3 linked regions of the Daphnia pulex genome follow. The protein of the gene in region 1 interacts with the protein of each later gene in a pairwise test. Links are inferred from orthologs where the notes say so. Each region holds a gene or a part of one and is shown in the gene's direction. Other genes may lie near its edges. The genes, in order: peroxisome assembly protein 12-like, peroxisome biogenesis factor 10-like and peroxisomal biogenesis factor 19-like.

Evidence for each region.
Region 2: the proteins of peroxisome assembly protein 12-like (region 1) and peroxisome biogenesis factor 10-like interact in a two-hybrid assay, tested with the Homo sapiens proteins (4 studies listed by BioGRID, with this or other methods). The link is inferred for Daphnia pulex from reciprocal best matches to the Homo sapiens genes PEX12 and PEX10.
Region 3: the proteins of peroxisome assembly protein 12-like (region 1) and peroxisomal biogenesis factor 19-like interact in a two-hybrid assay, tested with the Homo sapiens proteins (4 studies listed by BioGRID and IntAct, with this or other methods). The link is inferred for Daphnia pulex from reciprocal best matches to the Homo sapiens genes PEX12 and PEX19.

What each region holds. Positions count from the first base shown.
Region 1 is NC_060025.1:2,868,988-2,872,180, reverse strand, and holds peroxisome assembly protein 12-like, read left to right. Parts: upstream 1-1,181; 5' UTR 1,182-1,337; coding exon 1,338-1,463; intron 1,464-1,522; coding exon 1,523-1,631; intron 1,632-1,716; coding exon 1,717-2,260; intron 2,261-2,321; coding exon 2,322-2,439; 3' UTR 2,440-2,545; downstream 2,546-3,193. UniProt on the Homo sapiens protein: Component of a retrotranslocation channel required for peroxisome organization by mediating export of the PEX5 receptor from peroxisomes to the cytosol, thereby promoting PEX5 recycling.
Region 2 is NC_060026.1:15,822,260-15,825,884, forward strand, and holds peroxisome biogenesis factor 10-like, read left to right. Parts: upstream 1-1,371; 5' UTR 1,372-1,860; coding exon 1,861-1,975; intron 1,976-2,051; coding exon 2,052-2,209; intron 2,210-2,264; coding exon 2,265-2,516; intron 2,517-2,574; coding exon 2,575-2,730; intron 2,731-2,801; coding exon 2,802-3,023; 3' UTR 3,024-3,104; downstream 3,105-3,625.
Region 3 is NC_060022.1:6,085,097-6,088,655, forward strand, and holds peroxisomal biogenesis factor 19-like, read left to right. Parts: upstream 1-1,446; 5' UTR 1,447-1,603; coding exon 1,604-1,706; intron 1,707-1,771; coding exon 1,772-2,097; intron 2,098-2,168; coding exon 2,169-2,360; intron 2,361-2,427; coding exon 2,428-2,631; intron 2,632-2,691; coding exon 2,692-2,790; 3' UTR 2,791-2,905; downstream 2,906-3,559. Other genes in the region: DNA-binding protein Ets97D-like, read right to left, coding at 2,947-3,311, 3,389-3,559. UniProt on the Homo sapiens protein: Necessary for early peroxisomal biogenesis. Acts both as a cytosolic chaperone and as an import receptor for peroxisomal membrane proteins (PMPs).

The sequences.
Region 1 (3,193 bases):
CTTTTTTACGATTGGTTTGCCTGACATTTTGCCTACCAGAATGGTGTTGACAGAAAACGAGTTGTCGCCGTTCCCCACCAGACGACACTAGCGTAATAGGGAAGCCGCGAGAGGAAAAGTGGTGCACGCCTTGTGTGATATATTGCACTTGTGCAGTCAGACATGGGTTGGTTCGTCCCACAGCCCGACGCCAACGACATCTAGGCCCGGAATATCTTGATTAACTGAACGCCATCTTGGGAAAGAAACCTAAAACAATAACGTTAAACAGGGGCGTCCCTAAACTGCGAAAGCGAAACGCGAAACGCGAAACGCCTAAAATGCGGAAAAGCTGTGCGAAACGGACCAAAATTTTGGGACCGTTTCGCGGGACCAAATGCCGGAGGGCATACTAAAGAGCGAAACATCTTGCGAAACAAAAAGTTTTCCTTTTCATCACAGAGGTCCAAATTGACGGAGATTGCCGCCATTTTTCATTGTCTCCCGCTATGATGAGGCATTAAAGGAGGAAGGGGGGCAATCAAATTCGATTTCTTCGCCACTACCCCTGTATGTTTTCATGCGCATTTTACGATTATTAAACTAATGAAAGACATAGAGCAGCACGTTATGGTGATATTTTTAAATAATAAAATATTAGGTAATGGCCCAGGGATTATACATTACATTAAATAATTTAAATCAACCAGTAGGTACGTGCACAAAGAAAGAATCGGCCATAACAGTATGAGTGCCTTATATCAAGCTAAAAATCAAAGCTACCATGTTCCAAATCAAGCTAAAATTCAATCAGCTAAAACTTTCCTTAAAATTAAGAATGTTAATCTGATTGATACTGATACATGGAAACGAGAAGTTCCATTAATTTTTTTTATACCAATCTTCTAATTAAAAACACCTATTGCATATTGCATTCAAGGTATTTCGTATTCATGGTCAACACACAAATAGACCAGCGGACCAGCCATAAGGTGCGCGAAACTCGAAGTCTCGAAAATTTGAAACTCTTAACAAATTGTTTGTTGACGGCGTCCATTGTCGTCTGCTACCAAGACGTTTACACTGCGACGTTTCGCACACACCGATTTCGCAGTTTAGTACGGACCCAAAGACTAAAATGCGAAACAGGGTCCCAAAATTTTGGTCCGTTTCGCACAGCTGTTTCGCATTTTAGGCGTTTCGCGTTTCGCGTTTCGCTTTCGCAGTTTAGGGACGCCCTTAAACAGTGCTGTATTTTTGTTTGACACAAAAAAAGCAAGACAAATTCATGTAATAAAAACAACATTATGCCGTTTTCTTTTGAATAAGCAAGGTTTTTAAATTTGAGTACTTACGTTATGGCTGAAAGAGGGGCGCATTTAAGTCAGTTACTTCTAGATTCTAGTAGGCCATCGATTTTTGAGTTAGTTGCTCAGGAAGGACTTAATCAAGCCCTTCGTGGGACCATAAAGTTCGTCTTCAGGGTACGTTTGTAACACATTCAATTGAAATAAAAGAACTACCAACTCTATATCAATTGTAGGTGTGTGCTAATCATTATCCAGAAACATTTGGTTTATCATTTCGCTGGGCAAATGAAATTCAGTTACTATTTGATTGTTTTCTGCAAAACTATTACCTACGAAACTATGGTTTGTTGATAATTTTTCTTCAACTTATTTACATTTTTGAAATACGTCTTTGTGATTTACAGAAATGTTGTGCTTTTTTTTTCAGGAGCTTCATTTGCTGAAAATTTTTATGGATTAGAACGAGTCACAAAAGAAGACTGCACTTTGAATGGGAAAGGAACACTTCACTCTCTAATCAGTTTGACAATTCTGCCATATGCCTTGTCCAAATTAGATGCCTACTTTTCAGAAAGGCAGCAGCACAACCAGCAACATCCTGTTCTCAACTTTTCGAGTATCCGGTTCATCTATGATTTGACAGTCTTAGTGAACTGGATGCTCTATACATGGGGCAAATCTGTGACCCATTCACCTATTTTGCACCTTCTTGGATTGAAGTTAAAACATGGTGGTGACAACAGTAGCCCTGGCATTTCACTCACTAAAATAATTGAACTGAGTGCCTTCTTCATCCAATTTCTTGAGTGGTGGTTTACTAATCAGTCATCACAGGCTAAGAGTATGCTTTCCTTACCCATTCCACCTCCTCCACATTCCATTGTACAGAATCAACACTCCAAACCAAGGACTGGTGTTTGTCCCCTTTGTCAACAGCAATGGAAAAATGAGTGCGTTCTTCGCGTATCAGGGTAACTTAAATCATTAAGAAATACTTCGAACTGTAATTATATCTCACCATTTTTTTCACAGTTATGTTTACTGCTATCGCTGTATTTTGCCCTACCTAAAAGAGAATAACAAATGCCCCATCTCCAAGCTTCCAGCATCCCCAAATGACCTGATACGTATATTTGCCAACGCCGAGTAAACAACGTCCCAAAGATTTGCAGATTTCGATCCTGTGGAACAAATTGCACAATATTGATGTTAACTTACTTTCAAACAGATACATATAAATACAAGATTGAAATACATCTAGAAACATAATTAAATAAGTACGAACGAATTCCATCGCATCATTTATTAGACTGGTATCTCCATCGAAATCTTTTAAATATATGGGGAAGCGTTTCTCACATTTTACTCAAACACAAGCAAATGAAACAATACTCAAACAAATGTAACCGACGGATAGCTGGGCGTCTTTTGAGACCTCGAGGACATAACACAAACGGAAAAAAGGTAATAATAAAAATAAATAAATACATAATACGACGTCTCTTGCTATGTCCTTTTTCCCTTCTTTCACTATTCCATAAATGTATGCTTTTTTAATTTTGTTTTTTTAAAGGTGAGGTCGCGGTTTTATTAATTTATTCACTCTCAAAGTACGAGATGATGACCATCGGGATGTGGAATGTTCACCGTATTTTTGTTTTCATCGAGCTTTTTCATGAAACGCGGAGTAAATTTTAAAGACGGCCAAACCGAAACAATCGAGTGGAAAGCGCAAGTTTCCTTTCATATAAAAAGTATAAGGTGGGAGGGAGGAGGGAGACGAGGAGGGAGTGAGGACTGGAACAAGAGTGCAGGAGACGGTCGCCATGGATCCCCACTCGCTGACTACATTACACGATTCACGATTGGATAATAAGAGGAAAGCAAGAGTGGGATCATCAAAC
Region 2 (3,625 bases), on another chromosome or scaffold:
TGATAATAATTATTATACAGGCGCTATAATATCAGGGAAATGAATCAAAAAGAAATGTTTTGTTCTCTTACCCAGGATCGTTGGGTACTTCGGTGGTGTTGTCGCCATGCTGCGACTGCGAGTGAGCATCCATGTTGTCCATCTTCTTTCACAAACTTTGGAAACCTTAAAAATCAAGAGAATAAGAAAATTAAAAATTTTGTCAATCGCTTAGTTAATGAAACAAAAACTCACTTGTCAAAAATAAAACTTTTTTCTATTTGATTCCAGCCGAAATAGCCTCGCCACGTTGGTTGATTAATTGATTAGATTCCTATCCACGGCACCTGTGCCCGGGTTCCCAAAAAGTTACACAAGGGCTCGGATGACTGCAACAAACAGAAAATAAAAAAAGTTAAGTTTTTTAAGGGGGGAAAAAAAGATAAAAAGTCGATCGATCGACATTCCACAATGATACATTTATAATCAGATTACACAAAAATAGTGGGTCTAGAACCCTACATATTTTTTAGGCGAGTCTAAAATATTTTTTCCAAAAAAGAGAATCAATACCTCGGGAGTTTTTTGGAAGGTTGAAAATGTTCCAGTCGGAATTATTAAAATTTTCTCTCTTCTGACTTGTCTGTCTGTGTGTGTGTGTCTTGGATTACAGCCGAGAGAGAGAGATAGGGGAGACGCCGGGAGGAAGAAAAATCAAGAGAAGGAAATTGAATGAAGAAGTGGAGAGACGAGTTCACTTCTTCTACAGTTTCGATTAGGACAAGAAGAGCAGCCAAAGCAAAACGGAAGTCGAAGGGGATTGTTTTGTTATTTGGTGTGTGTGTGTGTGTGTAAAAAGAAGAAGAACGACGACGACGGCGAGTTTTTGGAGAAGAAGAAGAGAGAAATATATGTGTGGGGGGATTGACTTGTATACACACTCGCACACACTCACTCAAACACACACACTTTTTCGCTTGGGGTGAATGATTTTTTTGAAAAAATCTCAAAAGTAGAGGGGATGGATAATATATATTAATGAATTAAAACTGCTGATCAAAACTCTCTGCTTGTTTAAAGATTAATTTTTTTAATGATTACAGCTCGACTGACTGATTCCTACACTGAACAACTAAAAAAACTACCGGAGATGAACTCCTCCGGCCTGTTTCTGCAACGCGCGAGGGCACTTTACACACTGAGGGCAGCCATTGCTAACGCCTCTGTAGTAGTAGTTGAGCTCCTCTAGTCTATTTCCTCCTAGTTGTCCACAGGGGCTTCTTCCTTCCCCCCCAACACCACCCTCTCTGTGTATTTTACAAGCAGTCGACAGCTACTCGCACGCCATCTAACGCTCAACATTGCCACTTCTCGACGGCTACACGTCAAAATAGTTTTACGCCATAGTGGCCGTCAACGCAATTAAATAAAGAAGCTAATCAAAAGAAAGTCGTGTAAAATAATATACTGATAACCGTAATAATCTTGCTCGAGGCCAAAAACCAAGTCGAAAGAAAGTTGCTATTTAAAAAATAAGAGTACACAGAAGCAATAAAAACGTTTGTGTGTGTCTATGGGAAAGACCTACATTTTCACTTCTTGTAACACATCGACGTACGACGTCGGGCCGGGTCTGCGCCGTTGTGGTTTACCATAGAAAATAACAAATGGCCTTGACCCGATTGTGTCATCATCTACACACGGGAGCTTCAAAGGTCACTCTCTCGAGTCTCGCTTTCGTTGGAATGATCACCATATTTATTCATTCCCCGGACGTCTAAACCAGTGGATGGTCGCCACCATTTGTCCGTCCTTTACAACAGGCTCTCCGTGAGAGTATAGACAAGTTTTTTCGATTGTTTTCTTTTTTTCTTAAAAAATATGGCCGTGTTCGTGGAAGCCAATCCACCCGAGATCCTTCGAGCCTCCCAAAAGGATGAGTCTTATATCAACACCATCAAGAACGAACTGGCTGACATTGTACAACGTCTTTTCGGTAAACAACTGTTTTTAAGTGGAAATTTTTTCTAGCAGTGACCTTCTCATTGTTTACCATCTTGCTGTACACACAGGAAATCAGACATGGCTGAAGGTCCAGTGGCTATCGGACCTCACCTGTGTCTTCCTATATTACACCTTGACCACCTTGTTGGACAATCAAACCCTCGGAGAGGAATATGTAGGGCTCATACAAGTCAATCCAACATTAAGGGCTCTTCCCTCTAAATTGGTAAATAACAATATAACAAGCACTAGTACCTGACATTAACAAAGTTTCTATTTAGACAAGGCTTACTGCCATCACTCTGCAAGTATTAGGACCACGGCTGTTCAGTCAAGTCATGAAAAAGCTGGACACCTGGCTACGAAATCCAGAAAATATCCCTGATTTAACACCCAAAGCCAGAGATTACATTTTATTGCTGACAGAGCTGATTCACAGCAGCAGTTTTTGGGTGGGGCGACTCAACTTGGTTTTATTCTACATGTACGGGAAATACTACAGGCTATCTCAGAGAATGGCCAAGATCCATTACGTAAGACTGCATTAGATTACAAATACCCAAGCAAATTAATCCAATATTCTATTTCTAGGTATTCGCTACAGACTACTTGAAAACAGAAAATTACAACCCAACATTCAAGTTCATTGGGCAAATGGCCCTTACACACCTTGTTCTACTTTTACTTACAAATTCCATTACCAAATGGAAAAATGGCAGTTCCAAAAACAATTCCAGTGCAATTTCGGTAAGTATTTCTCAACAAAATTCCTTTCCATTTTGAAACCCTCATTAAAGCTAAGCAAATGCTAAACACAGGTGGTGGACAGTTCTAGTGAAAAATGTGCTGGCACATCACCCTCGACAACAGCGAAATGTTCCCTTTGTTGGGATTCAAGAAAAAACACAGCCTGCACCCCATGTGGCCACCTGTTCTGCTGGCAATGTATTTTGCAATGGTTGCAAACCAAGCATGAGTGTCCTCTTTGCAGAGAAAGTGTGCAACCTTCAAGAATTGTGCCATTATTGAATTATGAATAATCTATGTCAGAGTCCAAACAGCTATTTTGTGAAAATGTTTTGCACAATGTGTTGAAATAAAACTCGCTATGTTTTTGACGAGCCAGCCTTCTTCATTCAAAAATCCACATTCGTTCGATTTAAAAGGGAATCGCGTCTTAGATCTTAACCAGAGGAGACATTTTACGAGACACAAAGAAGAGATTAGTCAAAAAGTCTAACCTGAATTTATCAGAAGATTGTAATATCGTCATCTAGACAAACAGGCTGTCTCGTTCGTCGGAAGCATTTTCTTGAATTGTCACGTGCTTTTTCCCTAAAGAGGACACAGTCAGACCCAGGGTATCGAGTACGCACTAGTCCACAACTATTTTGTATTAAAATATGGCTTCAACTGACAGCACTCGACACCTAGCGGCCAACTAAAACATTACTTCATGGGAAATTTTTAAAACAAGATGGGCAGCAAATCAACGAAATAAATCTACTTTCGCCGGAACGGAGATCGTGTCGAAAAGAAAACATCATAATGACTCGTGTCTCCTTTTACCATTCCAGTACGCGGTAGCATTTTGACCTGGAAAAAGAAAGAAAAAACGGATGAGAACGTTTCAAACGACTGA
Region 3 (3,559 bases), on another chromosome or scaffold:
TAGGAATGGAGCTTTAAGAGGGTGATCCGAAACTCGAAAGCAATCAAAGCAATTTGTTCCCCATATCGAAAATTTTTATTTTTAATTCCACGTTAAACTTGAAGTGCTCTTCCAGTGCTTTTCTCCTTTTTGTGTATCGTTTCTCCTTACATGCAAATACTGAGCACCCATACAGTTTTCCCCGGTCTTATTAGTACTTAGGAGGTGCTACGAATCATTTGGCTATGATCATTTGTTCTCGTTTAACAGTGGTTAAACTGTGTCTTTTTTAAAGAGTAAAAATGTCCCCCAAACGAACTTCAGCCGAATTCATTACCAATAGAAATTGCAGCCTAAATGTTCGTCCTGTAACTTTATCACATAAAGGTTATTAATCCGTTACAGCTATAAGCTGTTATCTAAAATGATTTAAAACTCTGTTAGAATATGGATCGCGTGTTTAAAACCAAAATTTTTTTATTAACTAGTATCAGGGGTGAAATTGGGTTGGTGCAGGTCATGTTGAATGTTTACATTTTTAATGAATGAAATACAGATGCATTACTTGCATTTTTTTAAGTTCACTCATTTTGATTCATACTTGAATTTCCATTTTATCAGCATTCAACACATTATGTGTCAATTATTTTTTTAAGCAATTGAAGTTTGCCTTAAAAAAAAAAATGACTCCACCATCTCGAAATCATACCAGGTAGGCTAGATGGTGAATTTTCTTGATTTGGTGAACATTCGCGATGTGTCATTCCAGAATCGGTAGTACAGCAATTCGTGAAGAAGAGAAGAGGAAGAATAAAACGAAGCAAGATATTGGAGGATCAGTGAAAACTACTACTCATGTATTGATTTTGGTATCAGCAATGGACAAGCACTATTGCGGCAAGGCAGACCACCGTGTACGTTATAGAATATCACAATTTTTACTGTCATTTTGTCGGAAGACATATTACCTTTACCAACTGAACGTACTTTTTCAAAATTCCTTCTTTCATAGCTTTTAATTTGGGTCTGGCAGGTAAGTGAAATTGATTTGAACTTTGAAGCAAAGGCGGGATGGTAACGACTGCTCGACTGGTAACAACGGGATATAACGACATGTTCGATGTTCTGTTTTCATTTGTTAAAGCAAGACTAAGCTTAAAGCAACCGCCCTAATGGAAATCTTTGATTTTGACTATGTTACGAAATATTACTGTTAGGTTTAGAAAATATTTATGAATGAGCAGTCGCTTCTGTTATTCAGAACAAAAAATACATTTTACTCTCCCAATAAAGACGCAAAATTCAAAACCTAAAAAAAAAGTGATTTGTTTTAATTCATTTTTCACGCCAAATATAATTTTAATAAACAAGCATTCATGAATCATGATGAAGCGCATCTGCTTCATTCACGCACGCACGAACCATCACTAAATACCGAATGATTTCGGCAACATCGCGTTTTATTTATGAGGTAGTATTTCGTCGTCTTGTCTGGTCTTGCACTCTTTTCCTTGTCGAAATTTCCGGATGAGCAAGTTTTGAAGCCTGTGTCGATATTATTGATATCGAAATCTATTTCTACTTATACAATTCTGTACTTTGCTGTAAATAGATACATTTCAGTATGAGTGGAACCGGTTCTAATGATCCAAAGTCTGTACAAGATACGGCAGATATTAAAGAAGAATCTAAAGGAGATGACGAAGAACTAGACGCTTTACTTGACGGTATGTAGTTTAAACTAACTAGTTATTTGCCAACAAAGGAATAAAACATTCATTAAATGTAACAGATGCCCTGGAAGGATTTGACAAGCCACTGCAAGTGCCCAAAACAAAAGACAATGTTAAAGCCGAAGCAGCAGCACCTACAGATCAAGTATCAGATGTTGTGTGGTCTGAGGAGTTTATTCAAGAAGCGAGTTTGGAATTTGAGAAAAATATTCGTTTGATGATGGCAGAAACAGCACCAGGGGCCAGTGGTGATTCTGGATTTGCTGAAAGTTTGTTAAAGGTATCACAAGAAGCTGCAGCTAAAGTATTTGAAAGACAACCAGACCAGGGAGCATCCTTTGCTGATACTCTACGCTATTTAGCAGAAGGAACAGAATCACTTCAGGTAAATTTTTGTGGGTAGGATAAACCAAACTTTTTTATTTTTACTTTAACATGTCCTTATTTTTTCCATAGACTGAAGCTGATGAAGCTACATTAGCCAAAATGCTTGAAAAAATGGCATTTGGACCAGATGGGGGATTTGGAGATGGTGCTGGTGGAGATATGGGAGGTTTGGGTGACATTTTACCTGCAATGCAAGGAATGCTTCAAAGTTTGTTATCAAAGGAGTTGCTTTATCCATCTATCAAAGAGATTGTTAGCAAGGTAAGCATTCACTTGAGAACTGATGATAGTCAATCTTGTCTCTCATAACTTATTGTTATCTCCTTAGTACCCAGATTGGCTCGCAGACAATCGGCCGAAATTAGAACCTGCGCAATTTGAAAAATACAACCGCCAATACGCCGTTATGCAGCAAGTGTGTACCGAATTCGAAAATGATAACGACACTGATGATGCAGCGACGAAAAATAGTCGCTTTGAAAAGATATTAACTTTGATGCAACAAATGCAAGAATGTGGCCATCCCCCTAAAGTGAGTGCGACTACGAATAATTTGATTGATTTTCATTTAATGAAAAATCTTAATTTCAAGGAACTGGCTGGTGAAGCTGAACTGCTACCGAATCCCTTCGGTGGCGCGGATTTTGCTCAATCGATGGGACCTGGTGCCGAAAATTGTGTTGTTATGTAATTAATATAGTATGTTATAAAACATGTTTTTGTTATTGAAATTGGGCTATAAAAGGTATTAGAAGGTCGTTAAAAAAAATTGTTTGAACGGCATTACAACTTAATTTTATCATTAATGGCGTCAATTCTCAATGATTTAAACAAATACGTTTTGTATTTACACGTATGACGAACTTGCCCGTCTCATTTTGGATCGTTGCTCACACTCTGTTACAAGCTTATTAAGTTCATCAGCCGAATAGCCCAACAGTTGTTTGAGGTCACAAACAAATTTATACACAAATCGTTTACCGCTTACTTTGCAAATCATATCGCCATCATAATAATACCTCAGGGCTCGACTGAGTTTCTCATAGTTCATGTGTGGTTTGTTTTTCCTTTCTCCCCATAGTTGAGCCACCATTTCGGGGTTATTTAATTTGAATTCTCCTCCTGTCCCAAGCCAAGAAATAGCATCCCGGAAATTCACATCGGTCAACAGCTCAAGGAGAAACTGCCAGAGTTGTACCTGGCCATTGCTGCCTGTGAAACGGACAAGTTAATTCAAGTTAAAATCACCTTGATCATTAAAGCATACATATACTATATTTTTTAAATACCTGTTCGGTTTCCTGAGTTAGCAATCGAGAACGAACGCGAGGAAAATGTTTCAAGGGGAATCCTTTTTGCTGGAGTAACAACTTTAACAGGCGGTCTTGGCATTCTGGAAGTATCAGATTTAACTGTCAATGGAGTTGTGATATACTGAAGATAAGGCACTGGTTTTTGAA